3 linked regions of the Arabidopsis thaliana genome follow. The protein of the gene in region 1 interacts with the protein of each later gene in a pairwise test. Each region holds a gene or a part of one and is shown in the gene's direction. Other genes may lie near its edges.

Evidence for each region.
Region 2: the proteins of AT1G15610 (region 1) and AT4G26770 interact in a protein complementation assay, tested with the Arabidopsis thaliana proteins (one large-scale study listed by BioGRID).
Region 3: the proteins of AT1G15610 (region 1) and G1 interact in a protein complementation assay, tested with the Arabidopsis thaliana proteins (one large-scale study listed by BioGRID).

Annotation. Positions count from the first base shown.
Region 1 is NC_003070.9:5,367,275-5,374,779, forward strand, and holds AT1G15610 (uncharacterized protein), read left to right. Parts: upstream 1-3,482; 5' UTR 3,483-3,518; coding exon 3,519-3,910; intron 3,911-3,986; coding exon 3,987-4,112; intron 4,113-4,191; coding exon 4,192-4,405; downstream 4,406-7,505. Other genes in the region: AT1G15590 (E3 ubiquitin-protein ligase), read left to right, coding at 100-485, 564-689, 931-958; AT1G15600 (uncharacterized protein), read left to right, coding at 1,649-2,004, 2,078-2,206, 2,310-2,487; AT1G15620 (uncharacterized protein), read left to right, coding at 6,279-6,661, 6,746-6,871, 6,974-7,202.
Region 2 is NC_003075.7:13,478,247-13,487,578, forward strand, and holds AT4G26770 (Phosphatidate cytidylyltransferase family protein), read left to right. Parts: upstream 1-3,817; 5' UTR 3,818-3,972; intron 3,973-4,305; 5' UTR 4,306-4,333; coding exon 4,334-4,540; intron 4,541-4,612; coding exon 4,613-5,027; intron 5,028-5,102; coding exon 5,103-5,244; intron 5,245-5,318; coding exon 5,319-5,475; intron 5,476-5,566; coding exon 5,567-5,614; intron 5,615-5,691; coding exon 5,692-5,778; intron 5,779-5,866; coding exon 5,867-5,995; intron 5,996-6,078; coding exon 6,079-6,135; intron 6,136-6,210; coding exon 6,211-6,294; intron 6,295-6,361; coding exon 6,362-6,451; 3' UTR 6,452-6,697; downstream 6,698-9,332. Other genes in the region: EXT-like (hydroxyproline-rich glycoprotein family protein), read right to left, coding at 43-136; MAP65-2 (microtubule-associated protein 65-2), read right to left, coding at 588-881, 959-1,107, 1,196-1,283, 1,377-1,688, 1,766-1,921, 2,084-2,299, 2,376-2,621, 2,706-2,909 and 1 more; AR192 (Co-chaperone GrpE family protein), read right to left, coding at 6,820-6,918, 7,014-7,142, 7,222-7,389, 7,474-7,917, 8,171-8,314. UniProt on the Arabidopsis thaliana protein: May be involved in the synthesis of minor phospholipids and in modulation of IP3-mediated signal transduction.
Region 3 is NC_003074.8:19,206,880-19,214,698, reverse strand, and holds G1 (transmembrane protein G1P-related 1), read left to right. Parts: upstream 1-3,849; 5' UTR 3,850-4,035; coding exon 4,036-4,806; 3' UTR 4,807-5,184; downstream 5,185-7,819. Other genes in the region: ATG2 (metallopeptidase M24 family protein), read left to right, coding at 1,131-1,224, 1,334-1,418, 1,514-1,663, 1,756-1,909, 2,396-2,611, 2,697-2,833, 2,920-3,011, 3,073-3,273 and 1 more; BAG4 (BCL-2-associated athanogene 4), read left to right, coding at 6,521-6,728, 6,904-7,160, 7,238-7,384, 7,473-7,670. UniProt on the Arabidopsis thaliana protein: Heme-binding chaperone that may be involved in cytochrome c maturation in mitochondria.

The DNA of each region.
Region 1 (7,505 bases):
TGTACACAATTTCTAGTTTTCGATTGATCATGTAGAATTGCGTATAATATATTGTCGGCTGGCTTTAGCCAATGAATAACACAACAAGACTTTGTGATAATGGACAGCGAATCCCACAGTGATAATGATGATCACATAATCGACATTACAAACGATGAAGATTCTTCATCAAGATCGTCTTTGGACGAGAGAAGCTATCCTTCATTAAGTTCGTCTCTGTCTACGGATGACGAATCGTCAGATGAAGGTGCAAGTTCATCTACGAGAGACTGTGGTAGTCTTTGGAATATAATGGAATTAGTAGTCACTTTGGTTCAGATTGTTGCATCATTAATAGTTTTAACTCTGGCAAAAGATGAACATCAACAAGCACTTTTGTTAACATGGGTCATCGGTTACACTTGTGGCTGTATTACCATTACGCTCCTTATTCTCCTCTCGTGTGTCCGCAAATACAACCGAATTGGTGTTTACTCAAAAACGAGGTATAATAAACAACACTTGTTTCACTTAACATTAAGAGTTTAATTAGCTAAATCAAACCGAACCGTTGTTGGTGGCAGAACGGATAGGGTAATGGATGCTTTGAAGATGGGGAATGAATGTTTCTTTGTTGTGTGGTTAGTTATGGGGATTCTATGGATTTGTTATGGACACTCATCTTCTTCTGATACTCCTAAGCTCTACAGGTTTGACTCACAATCATGTCACAGTAGAGATTTAGTTAAACCCTAACTAATCAGTACTAACTTTTGTCTTCTTGATTATGTTTTGGCAGGTTATGTGTAGTCTTCATTGCTTTCAGTTGCATTAGATTTGCATATGCATTACTATTATGCGCAGGTATTTTTTTCGCTTAATGTTCACTAGAGTTTGGAACATTTTTTTCTCATATCTATGATGTGGATAAGTTGAAATCAAATGATGTAGATTCTGTAAGGGAAGGTATAGGAGGTAGATTTGTTTTCAAGAAACCGAGCCATGATGATGTGAGTAATAATTTCATATCACATTAATTACTCTGTTTTAAATAGCATTTTTTTGTTGTTGTTGTTGTTTAATTTTCATGGTTTGATGGTGTGTGCAGAGTTGTTGCATATGCTTGGGGAAATATGGAGAGGAAAAAGGAGTAGGACTAAGGAAACTTGAATGCTCACACGTATTTCATTCGCAATGTATAGACAAATGGCTGAAAATCAAATCCACATGCCCTCTCTGTCAATCACAAGTTAGGTGGTGATGAGATGAGGTTGATTTTTTTTTTATTTTTTTTTCGCTCAAGAGTAATTGTACACATTCAATAAACAAAAGTGGTGGGAAACTGAAAGATACGATCCTGTCTTCTTGTGTTGTCTGTCTTAAAACAGAAAATAAATATCATACAGATCATTTGACCTATTAACAATTTAACTTGTCCAAAACATCTGCAATATATATAAACATTGAAATCTCAGCTTTGATCTTCATTTTTCAAAATAATGTTTTATTTGTAACACGACTAATACGTACTTAGTATTGATCTGGTCTAAAAAAATACTAATAATTTTATCAACAAAGAAGGAAAGGTATATGCTTTGTGCTCGTCAACGCAAATTTGAATGAACTTTTCATTTGATCGGCAAGAAATAGGAAAAACCAAAAGTGATCAATGGAGGGCCCTTTGTTGAGCGAGTGTGAACACATCATTGACATTACAAGCGATGGTAGTTCTTCATCAATTGATGGTCAGCAACCACACGAGGGTGTTGAATTGGGTGATCCATACACAAATGAAAGCATTTGTAATTCAATCGAGTTTGTTGTGACTTTGGTCTTGATTGCTGCGGTCATAATCGTTCTGATTGAGCCAAGAGATGAAGAACATCCACAAACAATGTTGTCTATATGGATCATCGGTTATACATGTGGCTGTATTGCCACTCTCCCTATCCTATGTTGGCGTTTTTGGCTTTATAACCGAAGCGTTGGCTCCGAATCTACAGATGAATACTTAAGAGAGACAAGGTATATATAAATTGTGTTTTCTTTTATCTTTTTATGCATTAGATTGAGATATAATGGTTTTATTGGTTTGCAGAATCAACAAGGATATGGACTTTTTTATGACGGGTTTCTTCGTGGGTTGGTATGTGGTGTTTTTATGGATTCTTTCTTCCAAAGCATTCGACTCATCAGCTCTAGATGATACTACAACTCAATACTTCTGGTGCGTATCAAACGAAATTTCCAATCATATGTATACCTTAAAACGTATATATTGACCTTTCTTATACTCATGCCTTTGGCCTTCTTCATTGTCTCTTTTGCAGGTTATGTTTGGCTCTCCTTACTTTCAGTTGCATTAGATATGTTCTTTTTAATCTAACATTGGCAATGGTCTGTTATACTACTCCTTTGCTTTTACTTACGCCTGTGGTCATATGTGTTCTCCTTGCTGTGGAAGTCTTAAAAGGCATTGTAGCATGCATTGTATCATGCATCTGCTGAAATCGAACTAATAAAAATATTTTGTTTGTAAGCCTAGGAGAATGGGCGTTTAAAATCAAAGTAAAGCAGAGTACCAGAATAAAAATGTTTTGTGTTCATGTTGATGATTTTAATCTTATTAAGGTAGAGAAAAACAGTAGCTAAGGTTTTTTGAAATGATCAAATATGATCATCTCGTCTTATTTCCTCTTTTTATTTTATTTTTCTCCCTCGTTAATATTATTCTCCATTAAATGACAGTTTTGACTGACCATTCTTATTCGTGCGTTTTCGCTATTCAGATATGTATTTTAAGGGCCCGTACTTTAATGGGCTTTTTAAAATCTGACTTATTTCGAGTCGAGTCCTACCTCATTGTGACATTTACCCAAATAATCACGTGTTTCAGAATAACCTTTTATAGGCCTTATTATTTTGACAGATTTGGGTAAATCGAAATGGATATATAGATAACTTTAACACCAAAGATAAGATAACTAAGAAAAATAATAAAATATTATAGTTTCCCAAATAATAAAATTTAACACCAAAGATTTCTCCTTTTACAAAAAAGACATATTACTTCTTCTAGCTTCCCAAATAATACATCAAGCACCAAAGAATTAGGAAGACTATAATTTAGAACCAAATATTTTGAAATTTTACTCTAACGGGCTACAATTGACTAATAATTGGTCTTGGTGTAGGTAAAACAAAAACACACAAAACAAATGTAGCTCCGAAAGTCTACTCATTGTAAAGGACTTTATGTGATTGACTTAGAATTGGTATTGGTGTCGATTAGGTCTTAAGATAATAATATAGCTGGAAATGTCTATTATTCGTATTTAGAGAAGAATGACTAACTTTTTTTTTGTTCGTTAGAAGTTTACAATTGACTTATAGAATAGATCTTGACGTAGATTGGGTCTTAGAATAATAATTTAGCACCAAAGAATCGGAGAGGGCTTTATGTAATTTGTATTTCAACGCTTGTTTAGATGAACTATTAATTCGATTGGACAAAATAGAAGAAAGCAAAAAAGTGATCAATGGAGGGCCCTTTGTTAACCAAGAGTGAGCACAACGTCGAAGACGTTACAATCCATGGCGATTCTTCCTCAAATGATGAGCACATCATCGACATTACAATCAATGGCGGTTCGTCATCAGCTGATCATGAGCAAACTCCACATGAGGCATTTCAATGGAGTTGTCCATTTACAAGTGGAAGTTTCTGGATTTTGGTCGAGTTAGCTGTGACTTTGGTCCAGATTGTTGCAGCCATATTTTTTCTGATTCTAACAAAAGATGAACGAGATCCAGAACTAGATGTAGCTTTGTTTACATGGATCATCTTTTATACTTGTGCCTCTATTGCCACTTTGCCTTTTGTATGTTGCCGTTTATGGCAGTATATCCAAAACGCTAGCTCAGAGACAAGGTATAAACTGTGTTTCTTTTTCTTTTTCAGGCATTAGAGACTGATATCCTCAACAATGGTTTTTATTGATTTGCAGCAACGAGGTGATGGAGTACCGTTTGGAAAATTTTCTTGAATCTTTCTTCGTGTCCTTGATTGTGGTGTCTTTATGGCATATTCTAACCGAGTCATCATCACGTCAAGATACTAGTCGACACTTCTGGTGCGCATCTAACTAAATTTACAATTATGGCTAAACAACATAATTTACCTCTCTAGAACTAACAAATGTCCTTTTCCAGGTTATGGCTGGGTCTACTTGCTTTCAGTTGCATTCGATATGTGCTTCCTAATTTCCAATTTACCGTACAGTTATTCATGTTGCCTGGGGTGTCCCTTGTTACTGCACTTGTGGCCGCCATAGTAACGATGATTAATTCGTTACTCTCACTCTTTTTGGTCATCATTGGACTCTTTGCGTTAACCTTTTCGTGGATCATTGGAATGTGCGGATAAAAATGATGGATCATGTTGTTTTCTTCAACAATTGTTGTAATACTCTCTTTCTATTTATTAAATAAAGCCAAGTGTCATTAGCATTACCGAATCCTCTATTCCTGAAATGGCCGGCAAAACTGAAACTAAAGGCTTCTCTGTACCAATATCTCTGCAGCAAGATAAACATTTCAGTATCTGCATTTCAACATGTACAACTGGTTTGTCTATTGTAAAAGGCCTCTTTGGCCATCTTGATGAAGCGCTTCATGTTGAGACAGCATGTGGCACGCCCGACAATTCTTTTTAAGAGTGCACCCATAACATATATGTTCTTATGCTATCAAACAACCCACAAGGAACCTGAAGATGATAACTACTTGATAGAGATGATATGACTTCAATCAATCTCGATCGGGTTCGGTTAAGGGCACTAATAGATAACCTGCTATATGGGAGTGTGAAGACCATTAATTGGTTTTTCACATATATATGACTGAAGAAATCAGCCGTAACCAAATATTAGTGTTTTTGCATCAGTTGGGGCCTTGGGGGTCAATTATGGAGTGGAATAATACATGAAAACTTGAATGGTCGCATGCAGAGCAGAGGTAGCCTTTAAATTAAAGCACACATCAAAATGTAGTGCAATGTTGCGAACTTTTATTCAACTAAACAATTTAACACTCGATCTTTGTGCGCCAATACCTCTGCACAACAAACAATTTAATCTCATCAATATGATCCGATTTTGAAGAACCACCTTCTTCTTCAGTGACTTCTCTGGCTACCTTCCATTAACTGTCGCTGTCATAACGACGTGGAAGTTAACTTAATTGACTTTTAAAAGATTAATGATGCTGTATATTGGTCTTAAAATGGCACAAAAGGTTCCGTCTAGGCTTTGTGTTTCACTTTAAGTCTATAACTTAAAAAAAAAAAACTACTAATTTAGCACCAAATAATATCATAACCATTTTATTATAAATGACTATAATTAACGTAGAATTGGAATTGGTCAGTTGGTCTCGAGATAATAATTTAGCTCCAACGAATCGGACATATCTATGCTTTTATGTTTTTTTTTGGGTATAAGAATTTGTTATTAATTCTTATACCAAAATTATAGATATGATATTGTTTTATTTTAAAACAAAATAAATAATATATATATGAATGGTTTGATCTGATATTGGTTACGGTTAGGATACAAATTTTAATCCTGATACCATAGAGGTTTTATTAGTTCAATTTTCTTTCCGTTTGTTTATGCTCAACTTCAGATTCGTTGTCTTGCAATATTAAGATATGGTTCAATTATTGAGATATCATTTCAGTTACGTTCGCATCCGATTTGTTTAAGGTAATTGTAATGTTTTAATGATCACTTTTATTTGAATTCTGAAAATTGAAGTTTTAAAGATATTTTTTAAATAATCGATTTCAACAAAATAGAAAGAATTGTAATACATATTTTTTTTATCATAATATGAATTTTATATTTAATAGAAAGTTTCGATTATGCATTTAATTTCATACAATTGACTTTTCGACTGTTCATTTTTTTTAATTTTATTTTACAACGACTTTTAGACACTTCTTAGCACGAAAGAACTAAACGCAACATGTGCTTTGTAATTAAACGTCGAATGAATATGAATTATATTTGACCTAGGATTACGAATGATGTCGATCTGGAGTAATAATTTAGAACCGAACGACGACTTCGAAATATTACAATTGACTTATAGAATAGATCTCGACGTAGATTGGTCTTAAAATAATAATTAAGCACCAAAGAACTGGAGATGGCTTTATGTGCTCTGTGTTTTAAAGCGGATTAATAAGGACTTTTAATTCGATTGGGGAAAATAGAAGAAAGCAGAAGTGATAAATGGAGGACCCTTTGTTGACTCAGAGTGAGCACATCGTCGATGACGTTACAATCCATGGCGATTCTTCTTCAAATGAAGAGCACATCGTCGACGTTACAACCAATGGCAATCCTTCATCAGCTGATGAGAAAAGACCGCATGAGGGTGTCCAATGGAGTGATATATTTACATTTACCACTGTTTGTATTTTGGTCGAGTTTGTTGTGGCTTTAGTCCAGATTGTTGCCGCCATTGTTGTTCTGACTCTGGCAAAAGATGAACAACCTCCACAAAAAATGTTTCCTACACTGATCCTCAGTTATACCGGTTGCTGTATTGCCACACTCCCTATTCTAGGTTTGCGTTTCTGGCATTCTTACCGAAGTGTTAGCACAGAGACAAGGTATAAACTATAATTTGTATGTTAATTATTTGTTTTAAAGGCATTAGAAACCGAAACCGATATAGTGGTTTTATTGATTTGCAGAATCTACGAGGTGGTGGACATTTTGAAAAAGATGCTTGAATATTTCTTCGTGGGTTGGGTTGTGGTGCTTTTATGGCATCTTATCAACAACTCATCATCTATAGATAATACTACGCAACAGTTCTGGTGCGCATCAGAAGAAAATTATAACTATATATTCGTGTCCCGAAAACAGACTAAATTAACGAAGTCTCTCTAATAATACCACCCTGCATTTTCCTTTTGCAGGTTATGTATGACTTTCCTTGCTATCAGCTGCATTCTACATGTTCTTCGTAATCTCCCCTGTGCGGGAGTTTGTTTTCTGTATCCTATGATACTATATCTTTCCCAATCGATAGACTTCGTTGGTGACATTACTGATGAGATAAATTTGACTACGTCTATAATCCTATTATGCTTTGGAATCTTTGCCTGCATTATCTGTGGTTGTTGTTCCAGATGCTTATGCAGATAAAAAGAAGAATGATCATGTCGCTTTCTTCTTTCTTTTGTTTAAAATGTTGTAATACTCTATTTATTTATCAAATAAAGCCAAGTGTCACGATTGAATCCTATATATCTTCCTGAAATTGTTGGTATAAAAGAACAATTTAGCGCCAGCGAATTGGAAAGGTCTATGTTTTGTGTTTCAAATTCAATAAACAAAAGCGACTTTATATAATTGGTTTTGGTGTAGTTGGTCTTAAAATAATAATTTCACCAAATAATTTGAAACAGTCAATGCTTTGTGTTTCATTGTAGAATATACTATAATTTA
Region 2 (9,332 bases), on another chromosome or scaffold:
GCGATCATCTAGGTTAGATATAGATAAGAAAACGAAACTCACAGTAATAAGCAACAAGTGGTTCATGCTTCTGCAGCTCATCGGCACGTTGCAGGTAAGGCAGAAGAGCCCTGGCTGGTTCGTTTGGGTTCGACATAGATTCTCTCTTCTCTCGAGCTCCGTAGCTTTTTCTCCGATTGATTTGTTAAGACAAAACAGCTCAAGAAATTTTCCTGTATTTAACGCGCTTCTGATTGCAAACTAGAAACGACGTCGCAGAAAGGACCTCTAAAATCCCAAACCTTCTTGGAAACTTTTTAAACTTTTAAATCATGCCCAAAAGATCTTTCAGTATATTACAATTTTGCCCAAATATTATTTCGTAATTCCAATTAGAACCTTGACTTTCATTCACTAAACCGGTCACTTCACATTAGTCATGCTAACAAGTACCAAACAAATTTGAGTGAATGAATACAGAAACAGAAACATCTAAGTAACATTCTACTCTCATTGTCTTTGTTTCTAAGTGTTTGTTTCTTAAACAGCACTATTAGCAACTAACAAAAGTGTAAGTAAGCATTATAACTCTCTTTCTTTTGATATTGTCACGGTGAAGCCATCACTGGGTCAGCACGAGAGACTGGAGATGCAGCATCATCTTTTGTGTTGGCTACAATGTTCGAAGGTGAAGCTATCTTGTTCAGACTGTCTCTCTTGGACTTGCTTCCGTTCTGGTTTGAGTTCATAGACAAACGCCTCATAGGAGTTTCGTTGAGCCCTCCTCCATTGACTCGTGTTCCCACCGGTTTCTTGGCACTAACGGGTCTTGCAGGGCTTGGTTTAGACCCAAAGGCGGATTCTTGATCTGTGTGTGGCTGTTCTTGCTGCTTCTTCTGTTCCTGTTAATGAAAAGGCAAGATTATTTTAAAAGAAGTTAGTTTCAACAATCGGTTTAACACAGGATGAAACAACTTACTTTCAGCCTCCGCTTCTCATCTTCTCGTTCTTGCCTAAGCATAGTGTATTCATCTAGCATGGCGAGTAAAGGAACTCCATCGTACTCAAAGGACATACTGTTCTCCTCTTCCCATGCCCGGGTTTTAGCAATCAACGTGTCAACCATAGCTTGCACAAACAAAGTATGATATATTCTTCAGTCTCAGTTTAATTCTATGTGTAGTAATAACTAAGAGAGACTTTTGGAAGTTCTTACCAGTAATCTTGCTGACCAGAATCCGAGCTTTCTCAGCTCTCTTGAGATTCAAATGCGCACCTCGGCTTGCACTATACCTGTTCTGATCCTGTTTTTCCAGAACAAAAACCCAAAAGAATCATCAATTGAACTCTATGCTTAATAAGTAATGTGTTTATTAACATAGCCAATGTTAGCATACTCGATTGTAATCTTCGAGCCAGCTCTCTTCCTCACAAGCTGACATCCATTTCTCTACACGGTCTAAAATTTCTTTTCTACTAAAGGCTTCCTCCTTGGCCTTTGCGATCTGGCTATCCATGTCAGCCAGTAACTCAGTAGGTTCAGTATTCCCAGCATCAATCAACGACATGATCCTCTCACGAACAACCTCTGGTTTTATTTCTATGTGAGCACGAGCATATATCTCCTCAAGCTCTGATTGCTTTTTGAATGCAATTTCCTTCATTCTGCTAGATTTCAGTTGATCAAGCCTATCCACTTCCACCTCAGCCTTCAAGAGTTCACAGAAGATTTTTAAAAGCAGTACTTATCATACACATTGATTGATACATTACAAATTTACGATACCTGTTCGATAAGATCAAGTGCGAGAGCACCAGAGGCAGTCACTTCATGAACTGAAGCTGAAATGTTAGAGGTAACATGGTCAAAAAGCTCCCTTTCCTCATCAGAAGTATCCATCAGATTCCATAGATCAGTTAGCTGAGTAGCTAGTTCTTGAAGCTGCATAAAACCAAGATACATTAATGAAATCCACAAACAAGAATGGTGCAGAGAAAAGTTACAAACTTTCAGCGCAATTAATCAGAAAGGATTTCAACATATGTGCAGCCTAAACTGACCAAGCTCATGTCAGAGATCACAAAGACCATGATTTTGACTAACCTTCTTAAGTCTTTGCATTTTATCTTCTTTAAGAGTCAAGACAGTCTTAGCCAACCTTGCAAGTGTTTCATTGCTAATGCTCTTGGTTTGAACACCATTTGCCTCATCTAAGCTCGGATGAACTTCGGTGACAGTGCTTAAGAAATCTAAACGAAGGACGGCACATAGATCATGCACCGTGCTCACAAACTCGAGCACCTTCTGTAACCTATCACTCTGCTCAAACACAAAGCAGTTTTAGTTCTGGTTTGAACATAGGCCACACATAACCATATCCCAACTAATATTTTACCTTCTCTTTCTGGAGCTCTTGGAGTTTCCTCTGGAAGTCATCTAATCTCTTTAGAGACAAGTCAGTCTCATCAACCACATGAGGTCCATTGTTCAATCCGCCAGCGATCTCCTCACATATCTTCTGAATCTGTGATTGTACATCAGAAAATGCCCGGACCCTTTCCTCTTTCTGTTGCCAAAGTTGTTCAAGCGCAGGTGCTATTGCAGAAAGTTGTTCTTTGATCGTTCCTGAAGTCTTATCAGGCTGCAATGGAAACAAAGACATTGAATCACACTACACTGTAACCATCTCATCTCTTTACCACTTGTAAGACGTGAGATTACTTACAATGTCGATATAGCTTTTTTCCCCGAGAGCAGTTGTGAGATTGGAAAGTTCAACAGTGGCATCTGACAAAGTCTGAAGAAGCTCTGCACGAGATTTTGCGGCTAGCTCAACTTTCTTTTTGTAAACATTCAGACACTCTTCCTCAATCTGTAGAAGCAGTTTGTCTCGTTCTTCATCACTCTCCCCAACCTCATCCCAGATTTCCTGTAACAAGTTTGTACATTGAGTTTGTGGAACCATATATTAAAAGGATAAGTGTGTATGTTGCGAAATCTACCTGCAACTTCTGTAGTAAGGTGCCACAAGTGATTTCACCAAGAAGAGGATTTTCTGCTTCTGTCACTGCCATTCTTGTGAAGTCAAAAGGTTTCCTACAAAAGTAGAAACAACGAACATATTTAGTGAAGATCCAAACTAACTATACACTAAAAGAAACCAAAGTTGCAATCTTTTTTAGAAAACCAAATTGAATCAGAAACAACATTTTGAACTTGGGAACAAAAACACATCAAAGAACTTAGTGAAGCTAAGAATGTGAAACTAAGCTCAAGAAAAGCTCGAAAGGAACTTCAAAGAAATCAAACAGCATTGGTGATAAAACCAAAGCCAAAGCAAGAAATCAACATTGAAGAAGTAAAGAGGCAATGAGCTGAAATGAAACTAATCGAATCCAACAAGTAGAAGATGGCTTTCTTACCTTAATCGATATTGAATCCAAATGGTTTATCTTCCTCTCTTTTAGATCTGAAGCGACGAATAGTCACTGTGAGAGTAAGAGAGAGAGAGAGCATAGGAAACAGAGAAATCTCCAACTTTGGTTATGGAGGTTGGGAAATGGGAAAAGTGGGACCCATTTTACGGAACTCAATAATTAATGAGGAAAAAACAACAGCAAAAAGGTGAGAGACCCTGTCTTTTCGCGTTATTTACTGATTTGACCACTGATCTCACAGACCTCGTTGACTCCTCATGCTCATGTCTGAATAGTTAAAAGGCTTTCCTTAATGGGCTTAAATATCTGACCCAGCCCAAACAGATCAAGACAACACGTGTCACTCATTCCGGGTTTAAACATGAAGCAGCGACATGAATAGTTTATTGGTTCTCTCTTCCGATGATTTGATGAAACCTCACCGCTAAGTGCTCATCCACCACCTTCCTCCTCCTCCTTCTTCCCTCACCTTTTGAGTTTCTTTCTTCACGTTTCTTTTCATTAATTAGGGTTTCGCATTTTCAATCACCATCATCCCACCACGTTTTCGTTAATGTAAGTTCATTCTCTTTTTTCTACTTGTCATGATCCCATTTTGTTGCAATGTTCACTTATGAAATTTATCCTTTGTATGTGAATCATCACGTTTTGCTTTGATGAATCATTTAGATTTCTAGGCTTACACATTCAAATCTAAATCCTCTATTATATGCTTGTTACACAAGTAATCTCTCATCAGATATCAATGTGTGTGTTTCATTAAGACGTGTATAAGCTCGAGTTATGGTTGACATTTTGAAATTATAGATCAACCCCAAATTCATTTCCTCGGATGTATAAAGAAACCCAGATCATCATGATTAACTGAATTTCAAGAACTCAATCCAGGAACTGAGAGCATTTCCTAGGGATCTCAATGGCAATGGAGAAAGATCTCAGTCCAAATTCTCCACGGATTAGAAAGCTAAGGGATACTAGTTACCCTACTACACCAACGTCTCGAATGAATACTAATAACCAGAGAGATAACCATTATCCCAACATTCCTAATTCACCAAGGGATTACAATTATACTCCTAGCTCTCCAACAGCTCGCATTCGACACCGCAGGCGATCAAGCGAGGTATCTATACAATGTCATACTCTCTTTTCCGGTTGAATCCAAAATTTGATTGTCTTTTTCAATATTGATCAGAATTTAGCTGAGGTGAACAGAAGCAATGTAAGCAGAGTAAGCAATTTGTTACTTGGTGATAAGAACAAGTACAGATCAATGTGGATAAGGACATGCTCATCTCTCTGGATGCTCGGTGGAGTTGTGTTTATAATCTACATGGGTCATCTCTACATTTGGGCTATGGTTGTGGTTATACAGATATTCATGGCCAAAGAGCTCTTCTTTCTTCGCAGAAGAGCTCATGAAGAACGTCGCTTACCCGGTTTCTGGCTCTTGAATTGGCACTTCTTCTTCACGGCTATGTTGTTTGTCTATGGACGCATCATTCAACAGCAGCTAGTCAACACGGTTTCTTCAGATAGATTCATATACAAGCTTGTGAGTGGTCTTATCAAGTACCAGATGGTTATTTGCTACTTCTTGTACATCGCAGGTTTGTCTGTTTCTTTTTTCTTCACAAAAACAATACTCTCTTTCTTGATTTATTAACAGCTTAAGTTGGATTCAGGTCTCATATGGTTTATCCTTACATTGAAGAATAAGATGTATAAGTATCAGTTTGGGCAATACGCTTGGACACATATGATCCTTATCGTTGTCTTTACTCAATCTTCTTTCACCGTCGCCAATATTTTTGAAGGGATCTTCTGGTACAATGGACTCTTATATATATCCACTGAAGCATAATAGTTTTCCCGAGTGCTAATTTCTTTTAAATATGCAGGTTTCTTCTACCAGCAGCACTGATTGCTATGAACGATGTAGCAGCTTACTTCTTCGGTTTCTATTTCGGGAAAACTCCGCTCATCAAGTTGTCTCCAAAGAAAACATGGGAAGGTTTCATCGGAGCATCAGTTGCAACTATAATCTCTGCATTTATTGTAATAACCTTCTTCTATCATTTATTCATTCGTTCGTAACTCTTTCTTTTGGTCTCAAGACTGATAGATTATTATCTGCTTCGTACAACAGTTTGCTAATGTCTTAGGCCAGTTCCAATGGCTTACATGTCCAAGGAAGGTAACAAAAAGTGATATCTCCATCACAATATTTTGTCTCGGCCTTTACTTCATCCTTGTGTTGCATATCTTTTGCAGGATTTATCAACTGGTTGGCTTCATTGTGATCCAGGCCCTCTCTTCAGGCCAGAGTATTACCCATTTCCCTCTTGGATTACTCCATTTGTAAGCAATTAACTGTCCTCTCGTGAAAACCAGCCGATGATGTTGTCTTGTTTTGAAACTGAGCTCCGTTGTGAACTTTGCTTAACAGTCTCCATGGAAAGGGATCTCGACCCTGCCTGTCCAATGGCATGCTTTTTCTCTCGGTCTATTCGCATCCATTATGGCGCCTTTTGGTGGCTTCTTCGCAAGCGGTTTCAAAAGAGCTTTCAAGATCAAGGTTAACACATTTTTCAAACATTAAAAGGTTTTGTATCTACAGATCCAAGAACAAATATTTACTAGTTTATGTCGCTTTGACAGGATTTCGGAGACAGCATACCAGGACATGGAGGATTTACTGACAGAATGGATTGCCAAGTAAGAGTCACTAACGTCGAAAAGTGCAATATGATCTTTGCATCGTTTTAAACGAATCTTGTTGCCTAAATGCAGATGGTTATGGCGGTTTTCGCATACATCTACATCCAATCTTTCATTGTTAATCGGGACTACAGTGTCGAGATGATCCTAGACCAGGTAAGAATCATCATATAAGCCAAGAATACGGAGGCATTGTAAATAATTGATTGTATTATACCTGCAGATATCGAGGAGCCTGGGACACGAGGAGCAGAAAATGCTTTATGAAAAGCTCGGAGACATTCTTCAACATAAGTTGCAAGGGAGGTTTTAAATAGTGAGTGCAAGTTTTGTGACTCTGTTTTCAGCTTCTTTCTCTATGGTTAGTTTCTGGTTGTATCAGACCATGTAAAACCTTGATTTGTATCTGATTTAACTAATCAAACAGAGACTTGGTAATAGTGTGCGAGTAGAAGAGATGTAAAATGATATTTTCCTCGTTCAATTATAGCATGGAGATAGAGAAAACAGACACAGAAGCAGGATTTCCCCTGCAAATGCCATGTCCAGCAACTTATGGGAGATCTTGTTCATCTAATGAATAACCAAACCACAAAAGAAAACTATGACTCGAAGACTCGAGAAGATGTTAATGGAAACATAGAACCGTAACAAAATTTATGAAAACCAGCTGACTTCTTCTTAAGCATCAGACTCTTTCTTTTCTTCTTGGTTCTCTCCTCCCTGGGTAACACCAACCTCAGCTGGTCTTATAACTCGGTCATACAGCGTGTATCCAGACTGCACATATTGACACCCATCATTACTAATTGGTATTTAAGACTATACAATATGAAATAAAGAGACAAAGAATTGAGCAAGCTTTATATATTTACCTTCAAGACATGAGCAACTGTGCCTTCTGGCTTAGAAGCATCAGGGACTTGGAACACTGCGTTATGTCTGTTTGGATCAAATGGCTCGTTTATAGGATCATACTTCTCCATACCAAATTTCTTAAATACCTGCAGCGGCACACATGTTTAACCGGTCTCATCTGCATTGCTTACTTAAGGTCTTATAATTACATTTCTCGATATTTACCTCAGCAAGCTGTTTCTCAGTCATCTCCACTCCTTCTAAAAGGGTCTTTAATAGTGGAGCTGCTCCAGCAGAATCTTCTGAGGTGTCAAGCTTTGAGAAGCTTTCTTTGACAACCGAAGAAGCTCTTCCAAGATTATCCGCCACATCCAATAGGCTCTTTGCAAAATTCTGCATACATATATAGTGAATATATATATTTCAGAAAACTATTATATGAAACAAAAGCTGCAAACCAAGTTCTTAAAGACTAACCTGTACGGCATACTTTTTGGTGTTTTCAGCATCACGTCTTGTTCTGTCCATGACATTCTCCATCTCAGCATAAGTGCGAAGAACTTTGTCTTTCAACTGCTTAATCTCTTCTTCCTTCTCAGACAGTAGCTCTTCCTTCTCAGCTACGAGCTTCACCAAATCATCGGCTGACAATTCATCATCATCACTCTCAGAATCTGATTCAGAAGATGAAGATGCAGCTCCTTTAGCACCTTTCCGCTTTCTTTTTGCAGAATCTGTCACAGAATCTTTAGATTCAGAGTCAAGACCTGGTTGGTTTGCCTCAGCTGTAGGTTTCTCTTCACTTGTCTTTGAGGCCTCAGTGTGGGTCTTCTTCTCATCTGATTCAGGCGAGGTAGAGGAAGAAAAATTGAACCTTTGCAGTGCAAACGAATCCATCATAGACATCTGAGCTGGAACAAGCTGCCCCCAAAAAAAAAAGTAAAATGGGTTAAACTCAGTGAAATGATACAGAGCAAAAACCTATAGAGAATCTAAACCATTCTTCTATTGTTTATTCATATATCTGAAGATTCAAACATAAGAGATCAAGGAAACAGTATCAGAAGATAGCAATCATTTCTAGAAACTCAAATGAGGGAAAGCCTTAAACCCTAACAAAACCCTGAATTGCAATTTCGGCATGAATAGTGATTAATTTGAGTGAAAATCGAACCTTATGCGAGAAATCGTGAGCTAGGGAGTGAAACCGGCTCGAGAAAACAGGAGTCTGATTCCTCGCCGGAAGAGTGACGGCGGATAGAGATGAGCGTATGCCCGCGTTGCGGGTTACTCGCGACAAAATTCTCAAAACCAACATCTGGAGATCCACCACAGATGAACAAACAGAGATCAAGAAGATAAGAGAATCGAATCGAATCGAAATGTAATTGTTCTGAGGAAATTGTTAATTTGCAGAGGCACACAGAGTGCTTGGTGGATGGATAGTAGAATTCACAATTCTCTCTTTCGGGGTTTTTAGTAATTTACGTAAATAGCCTTACCGCTGCACGAGCGGGCTGAGGCTAAAATGATCGCTTTGATTCGGCGAGCCTGTGAGGGTATTATTGTCATTATAGCAAATGGGAGATTTTGAAAGCTAATTTGAGAAGCCTCTAGAAAGAACCAAAGGTACTTGTATATCTTTGGGACAGACGAAGTCCATTTATCTCCTGGGCCTGATTGGTACAGTCCTACCAAACAGAACAAGCAGCAGTATGTTACTGTTGCTAAGTGGTTTGGCTTTTTTAGTTTCATTCTTGTGTTTAATTAAAATTGCTGGATTAATATAGAGGTTGTGTAGATTTGACGTCATTTGGATGGGAGAATTTGGAAATTAATGTTCAACTACTTAATCTATAATTCAACAAACGATAAATGACCACTTAATTGCTAATAGCCTCTAGTTAATTCAAAACGCAAACCTATGTTATGAACCACTTGTCAATAAATTTATAAATCTTTAGTTGAGACTCAAAAAACAAAGTTACTTTATCGGAAATGTCACATTTGACGCATGAGAGACACTTTCTTGCCGTTACTTGTTATTGTCGTTGCAACAACCAAAACTATGGTTGAACTAAAAAGCCCCAAAACGTGCGACACAGTTCACCCAAAGTGCAAATAATCTTTACATTCAAGACTCTAGACTCAGTAAGCAATAAAAACAGTAAGTGATACAAGAACAGAGAGTTGAGTTTTGAGCGTGAATCCGGTAAAAAGGAAGATGCGTTACATATACATCTGAAGCTTGCAATGGTACGAATCCTTCTATTTTAAAATATTCTGTCTTTCTCTCTTTTTTAGTAGCTATAAATACGGCTCTCTGCTGCACAACT
Region 3 (7,819 bases), on another chromosome or scaffold:
CAAAGGAAACAAAAGGAGAGAAAAAGTGAAGTGCTACGTGGAAGAGAAGACGCGGCGAGACTAGAAATAATGGGCTTTACGGAGATGACACGTTGATGCTTACTCAGTCAACTTGCTACAGTTATTAACGAGCTGCTTGACACGACTCCGATTAATCTTAATCCATTTTCTGTTTCCCCCAAGAAATCAAGATAATTACCCACATTTGGGATTTTTTATAAAACTGTTTTCCGTGTTAGGTCTTTTCAATATCAGTTAGATAGTACTATTATTTATCTATTTGAAATCTAAGTGCAATATTTCGGATAAATATGTTTTAAAGTTAAAAGTTTTATATTTATTCACATCATAAGAAAAATATAGGTGTTATTAGAAGAAGAGATTTATAAATCGATCACACATAATAACTGGGAAGAGAAGGTAGCTTCGAGGATTAGTTGGTTTACTTGTCGACAAAGTCATATCTACCATGTAATAATTAGGTCTTTTTCAAGTTTTGAGTTTGGAGACATTTATTTGAGTTTGACTTTGGTCTTATTATATGCTTGGGCTATTGTACACGTTTGACTCATGCTGATTAGAGTATGTATAGTTAAATATAATAATTAAAATGTTAGAATCTGGTGTGGATTAGACTTTCGCGACATTGTTGAAAATTTGTGAATGCATCTATCTAAAAGTTGGTTTAGTGGAGTTTCTATGTGCACAACTGAAGTACATCACTATATTTGGACAATATTGAATTATATTTGAATTTATTGTCTTGAAGAATAATTTGCAACATTACATACCAAATGTTGGCTCTCTTACGGAGAGCGTATAAGCGCCACTTGACGTGGGCTTATATGGGCCCGGTTAAGGGTAAATGTTTAGTGGCCACAATTCTGAAACAGCTTCCCTTCTTCGGCCCATACTGGAGTACAAAAGTAACGCAATTAAGAAAAAGCGTTACAGGATTAATCCAAAACGGCATCGTTAGAAGAAGAGAGCACACATAGCGAAAACCCTAGTACCTTTATTTGAGCCAACACTTTCATTTCTCTCCTTCTCCACCAGTTTTCCCCCAATCGCTCCTCCTTAAACCCTAACATTTTTGCTTCCCCTGTTTCGATTCTCGAGAGTTATCAGAGATGAGTTCGGACGATGAGAGAGACGAGAAGGAGCTGAGTCTTACCTCTCCTGAAGTCGTCACCAAGTACAAGAGCGCCGCTGAGATCGTTAACAGTAATACACCCTCTCTTTCTTCCTTTCTTGTTTTAAGTCCGATTTGGATTTAGGGTTTTGAAGGTGTAGCTTTATCGAGTATTGATTTCTGTTGGGTTTTCAATTGCAGAGGCGTTACAGGTTGTTTTAGCTGAATGCAAACCAAAAGCTAAGATTGTTGATATCTGTGAGAAAGGAGACTCTTTTATTAAAGAGTGAGTATATCTCAATTTGTTCTTAATGTAGATTCGACCTTGGATTACTCTTAGATATTTATGTGTTTGTTCTTTCTTCTGTTTTTGTATTAAAGGCAAACAGCAAGCATGTACAAGAATTCTAAGAAGAAGATTGAGAGAGGTGTTGCGTTCCCTACATGCATTTCTGTGAACAACACTGTTGGTCATTTTTCACCGCTTGCTAGTGATGAGTCTGTGTTGGAAGATGGTGACATGGTTAAAATGTAAGTTGTCTTCAAGTAATACCTGTTTTTAGATGTTTCTGTATGATTCACCTGTGTTATTTCTGATGTTGTTTTGCGTTTCTCAATTGCAGCGATATGGGATGTCATATTGATGGGTTCATTGCCCTTGTTGGTCACACACATGTTCTTCAAGAAGGGCCTCTTAGTGGGCGTAAGGCTGATGTTATCGCTGCCGCAAATACTGCAGCTGATGTTGCTCTAAGGCTCGTACGTCCTGGAAAAAAGGTATCATCAGTTTTACTCTTACATTAAACTTGAAACTATAGGCTTTTGGTACTATAACTGCCTCTTGAATGATTGTCAAGGTTTTACAAAACCCAGATGATGAACACTTAATAAATGGCTATGGATTATTATCCATATGATGCTTTTTTGTCATAGTTACTCTGATGGGATTTTTCTTATTCTGATTTTTAGTCTGATCCCTCGTTGGATTTACTATGAGATGTTGGAACTTTGTCTAAGGTTTTCCTCTCTTGGTCTTGCACGATGCTTTTTTTTTTTAGCGGACTTCAAATGTAAATTGTTTTGGGAAAAGATTTCTGGATGAAGACCGTAATTGTTATGGATTCGCATCCAAATGAGGCCGTAGTTACTCTGATGTGGGAAAGTTCTTTAAAATAAAGTTTCTTGCTACGAGTTTGTAGTTTCTTGTTTAGTACTACAACATATTGCAATCAAGACATTGATATTCTGTTTTTCTTATCGCAGAACACTGATGTAACTGAAGCTATTCAGAAGGTAGCTGCAGCTTATGACTGCAAAATTGTTGAAGGTGTTCTTTCCCACCAGCTGAAACAGCATGTGATAGATGGAAACAAGGTTGTGCTTAGTGTATCCAGCCCTGAAACAACTGTTGACGAAGTGGAATTTGAAGAGAATGAAGTCTATGCAATAGATATTGTGGCAAGTACTGGTGATGGCAAGGTAATTTCTTTTGTTTATCGCATCCCGATCACTATTGGTGAACCTTTGTCTATTGCCATTGTTCTCACAATCTTTGACTTTGCAGCCAAAGCTATTAGACGAGAAGCAAACAACTATTTACAAGAAAGATGAAAGTGTTAACTATCAGTTGAAGATGAAGGCCTCCAGATTCATAATCAGCGAAATTAAACAGAACTTCCCCCGTATGCCATTCACTGCAAGGTGTCTTTTGTACCTTCTGAAGCATTTTATATTCCTTAAACTATTATCTCACTTGCTAACGTTACCTGAGAGTATTATCAATACAGGTCACTGGAGGAGAAAAGGGCACGGCTTGGACTTGTGGAGTGTGTGAACCATGGTCATTTGCAACCATATCCTGTTCTTTACGAGAAGCCTGGTAAGGATGATGAAAGGGTTTTGAATCTATAAACCTCTTTTATCTGAATCTTGATATCAAGGCTCATGTCGTTTTGGTTTTCTACCAGGGGATTTTGTTGCTCAGATTAAGTTCACAGTTTTGCTGATGCCAAATGGATCAGATAGGATCACTTCACATACACTTCAGGAACTTCCTAAAAAGACCATCGAAGACCCTGAGATCAAAGGGTGGTTAGCTTTGGGCATCAAGAAGAAGAAAGGTGGTGGAAAGAAGAAGAAAGGTAAGAACTTAAAATAAATTTCCAGACTTTTACCTTATATGACGTGATCCACATGTTGATTAAAAAGGTTCAATTTGGTGTTTTGCAGCCCAAAAGGCGGGAGAGAAAGGAGAGGCTTCAACAGAGGCTGAGCCAATGGACGCAAGTAGTAATGCTCAAGAATGAGTAGGAAGATTTGTCTTTGTTTCTTTTAAAGAATTTTTGAAACTTGAGGTACCTCTTTCGTTGTATGTTTGGGTTTCAAGAGAGTCTCTTCTTAAACAAAAAAAAACAAACAATAGTTTACCACCTTTGTGCATATTTTTGCACAAAGCACTTTTCATCATCATTTCTTTGCTTGTCCTAATCTTATCTCATTCTCTAATCAAAAATACTTATCTGGTTTCAGGCTATAACAATAACTCTGTTTAGAAACACTTGTTACCAACAAACTACTCTTTGAATGTGTTTACGTGGTAAGGATTTGATCCCACAGAAGAGAAATATTTGTGACAGAAGAAAAAAACTCAGCTCTTCAATAATCGAAGCTTATACAGATTTTTGGATTGGTTGATTTTGAGATTGTAACGAATAGTAATCAGAATTTCACTTAAGAAATTGTGATTGAACCCTCTAAACCACAGAGAGGGTTCTTGACGTGGTCCATAGTTCTTCAGTGGGGCGGCTTGTGGCTTCTTTTTCATTTTTCCAGAAAACCCCATAAACCTCTCGCTCTCGGGAATTTGATTGATTCCCACGAGGAAAAATCAATCTTCCCGGAAAATGGCAGCTAGGTTATTGTTCCGTCGAAGTTCTCAAATCCTCCGATCAATTCAACGAAATCCTCAAATCTCATCGTCATTCGAATCACCACCTTGCCCGATTTTTCACTCATTGACCACCGCCTCACCAGATCCATCGCGATTATCATCCTTAACCTTCCTCCGATCTCTCTCCATCGCTCGTCGCGGTCCAACACGTCCTAAGAAAATCGATATCGGAGCCAAAGCGCGTCAGATGCAGAATCGCCGTTTATGGACCTACGCGCTAACCTTCAGCTGCATCGCCGGATTCGTAGTTATCGTCCTTAACCAATTTCAGGATCAGCTTGTCTTCTACCTAACGCCATCAGACGCTATGGAGAAATTCGCAGAGAATCCAACAAAGAACAAATTCAGACTCGGTGGTTTGGTTCTAGAAGGTAGCGTTGCGCAGCCGGCGGCGTCACAGGAGATGGAGTTTGTGATCACTGATCTGATCACTGATATTTTGGTTAGGTATAAAGGATCTTTGCCGGATCTGTTTAGGGAAGGTCATTCAGTTGTGGTTGAAGGATTCATTAAGCCGTATACAGATGAAGTAAGGAAGGAAGTTTCTACAAAACCTATTTCGAAGAAAGCTAGGAACCTCGATTGTTTCTTCTCGGCGACTGAAGTTTTGGCTAAGCATGATGAGAAGTATATGCCACAGGAAGTTGCGGCGGCGATTGAGAAGAATAAGAAAATTATTGAAGCGGCGGCGACTGAACAAGCTGCTGAAGTTGCGGCTTCTTAGATTGGTATAAACTTCATTCTTTTTAAGTTAATCAAAATTTTCCCCAAGTTCGAGCTTTTGGTGAGTATTGTTCATCTTATAAGGTTATATTTGATTATAGTTTCTGGAAAAGAGTAGGAAGATTGGAATGTTATATTCCTGGAAAACAGAGATTTGATTTTTGAGTCTATTTGAGAATTAAGTGGAGAAATGTGATACACTATACAATAGCTTTGTTTGATTCCACAAAGCTATAAGCTAATCTACTTTCTTGTTGTGTTGATCAAATAAAGAACACTTTGACGAGGGATCAAATATGCTGCTTGATTCATTGTGTTGTTGGATGTTTTGTTTGTTGTTGATGTGCACACAGATTAGAGAAGCTATGTTTTGTTGCTGCACACAGATTAGATTGATCTAGTGAATCTTATTAGCTTCATCAGGTCGTGGGTATATAATTGTAAACGTATCACCAAAGTTGTAGCTTGTGTGACCTTATTCTTATCATGACTAGGTACTATAGCCAAAAGAGTTGAACATACAGGTCTTTCAGAGCTTCCTCTTAGTTGTTCTGGAGGTTCCAAGCTCTTTCTTTGTTGTTTTATAAATATGGGTTGAGCTTGTTGACAATCTTGAAGATGGTCATGCATTCCTTTTATGCATCTTATGTTTCAACTAGGCAATTCTGGCCCTGGAGATTTCAAGTTTGTACTTTCTGAGTCGATTAGGTGCCTAGTTTTTGCCTCTAGAATCATGGCATTGGCTTCTGTTTTGGCACTTCTCTTAGGCTTGTTGGTTGATAACCAACTACTAGTCTACTAATGTAGCTGTAGTTTGAAGTGTTCCGCAGTTACGCTATTGCTTTTGCTTTTTTTAAGTGCATCTTTATATATGCATCAGTCTCTCATTGTATAGCAAATTTATCGTGGGTGGTATATGATTCAGTCAACAAAAACTGACTATCAAGTATGGAACGAGTGGTATATGATTGAGTCATCAAAAATACTGACTATCAAGTATGGAACAAGAGCATTACGATATTTGTCACTACTATATTCGATTGCTATTGTGTGCTTGGTCCATTTTGAATATGGGACAAATCACCATTACTATACTTGCTGCCCTATACTAACTAGATTATTCCATATTCCTCGTAGATAGTTTTTGTTTTTTGGTTCAGAGAAAGTTCAGATTTTAGGCCTATAAGTTCTTTTGGTTGGGGACCATATCAAGTTAAATCTCTCACTATATGCATTGTGGCGGTTCGGCCGACCTGTCTAAAATTGGGCTTGTTCAAATCCTGCCTCAAATCCTGCCAAAGCGTGAGTTATATACATATACATTGACACTGAATCATTCCATCCAGGGCCGGTTGGCTGGATCCAAAATCAGTCGTTACCTATTTTTGGCAATCTTAAACTTATTGATTTTTTTTTTCTGACGTTTCACAAATCATCATCATATGTGAAAAACCAAAACATCTATATTAAGAAGAAAAAAAATATTGTTACAATTTCTGAAAATATTTGGTTCATTTAGTCCTTAAAAATTCTAATTACCAAAAAAGACAAATATATAACAATTGAAACACATGTGTGTTATCAGGAGAATTTGTATGTTTTGAGGAGGTGTGCATCATCCGTCTATCAATACCCTGACAAGGAAAACCCTAATTTTTTTTGGCCCAAAGGGTTTTATACTTTAATCTCATACTCCGATTCATTGTCGAAAAACGATGATGCATAATTCAACCGAAGAATCGGAATGGGAGGTGAGACCTGGTGGTATGCTCGTCCAACGAAGAGACGACGCCGCTTCCTCCGACCACAAACCTCTCCAGGATCCCGACTCTGCTTCCGCCGCTTTTGCTCAAACCATCAGAATCACTGTTTCTCATGGCTCATCGCACCACGATCTTCATATTTCTGCTCACGCCACTTTCGGTAACAAAACTCTCAGCTCCGTTTCTGATCCATCGCCTGAAAATTCCAAATAATCGAAGCCTGAGAGAATTTAGCGTGATTCATTATGAAATTTTTCTTGCTCTATTTAGTTTTTGTTGAAGTTGTGTTAGTGTAGTTGAAGATTGATATGTTTAAGCTCGAATGTGATAACTAGGGGATGTGAAGAAAGCTCTTGTTCAGAAAACTGGATTGGAAGCTAGTGAATTGAAGATCTTGTTCAGAGGAGTTGAGAGAGATGATGCTGAACAATTGCAAGCTGCTGGTGTTAAGGATGCGTCTAAGCTTGTTGTTGTTGTTGAGGATACGAATAAGAGAGTGGAACAACAGCCTCCTGTGGTAACTAAAGAGATGGAAAAAGCTATTGCTGCTGTTAACGCGGTTACAGGAGAGGTCGATAAGCTCTCGGATAGAGTGAGTTTTTATAAGCCTGTATTTCTTTTGGAGATGACGGAAGGATTGTGCTTAAGCTAGTTTTTTTTGGTAATTAGGTTGTTGCTTTAGAAGTTGCTGTGAATGGAGGGACGCAAGTTGCGGTGCGGGAGTTTGACATGGCTGCAGAGCTTCTTATGAGGCAGCTGCTCAAATTGGATGGCATTGAGGCTGAAGGGGACGCTAAAGTACAGCGTAAGGCTGAGGTTAGTTTTCTTGCTTTGTTAAGCATGTTTACACGGTAAGAGTGTTAATAGAGTTGGAAGATATATGAGTTGTGGTTTGTGTTGGCAGGTACGTAGAATCCAAAACTTGCAGGAGGCTGTGGATAAGTTGAAGGCAAGATGTTCAAATCCGTTTGTGGATCAGAGCAAAGCTGCAGCTGTAAGCACTGAGTGGGAATCGTTCGGAAACGGTGTCGGAAGCTTGAACCCTCCTCCGCCAGCTTCGCCTTCGGCCAATGTAACTCAAGATTGGGAGAAATTTGACTGACATTTTAGTACTGCTACGTTGCCTTGGAAAAAAATGCTTATTGAAACTGTTTATCTTTTTGATTATTGTTAAATATTGGAAAACGACCATCGTCTTTATCTTCTAATGTATAGATATATTATATATAGTATCGGAAATCTACATCTCTG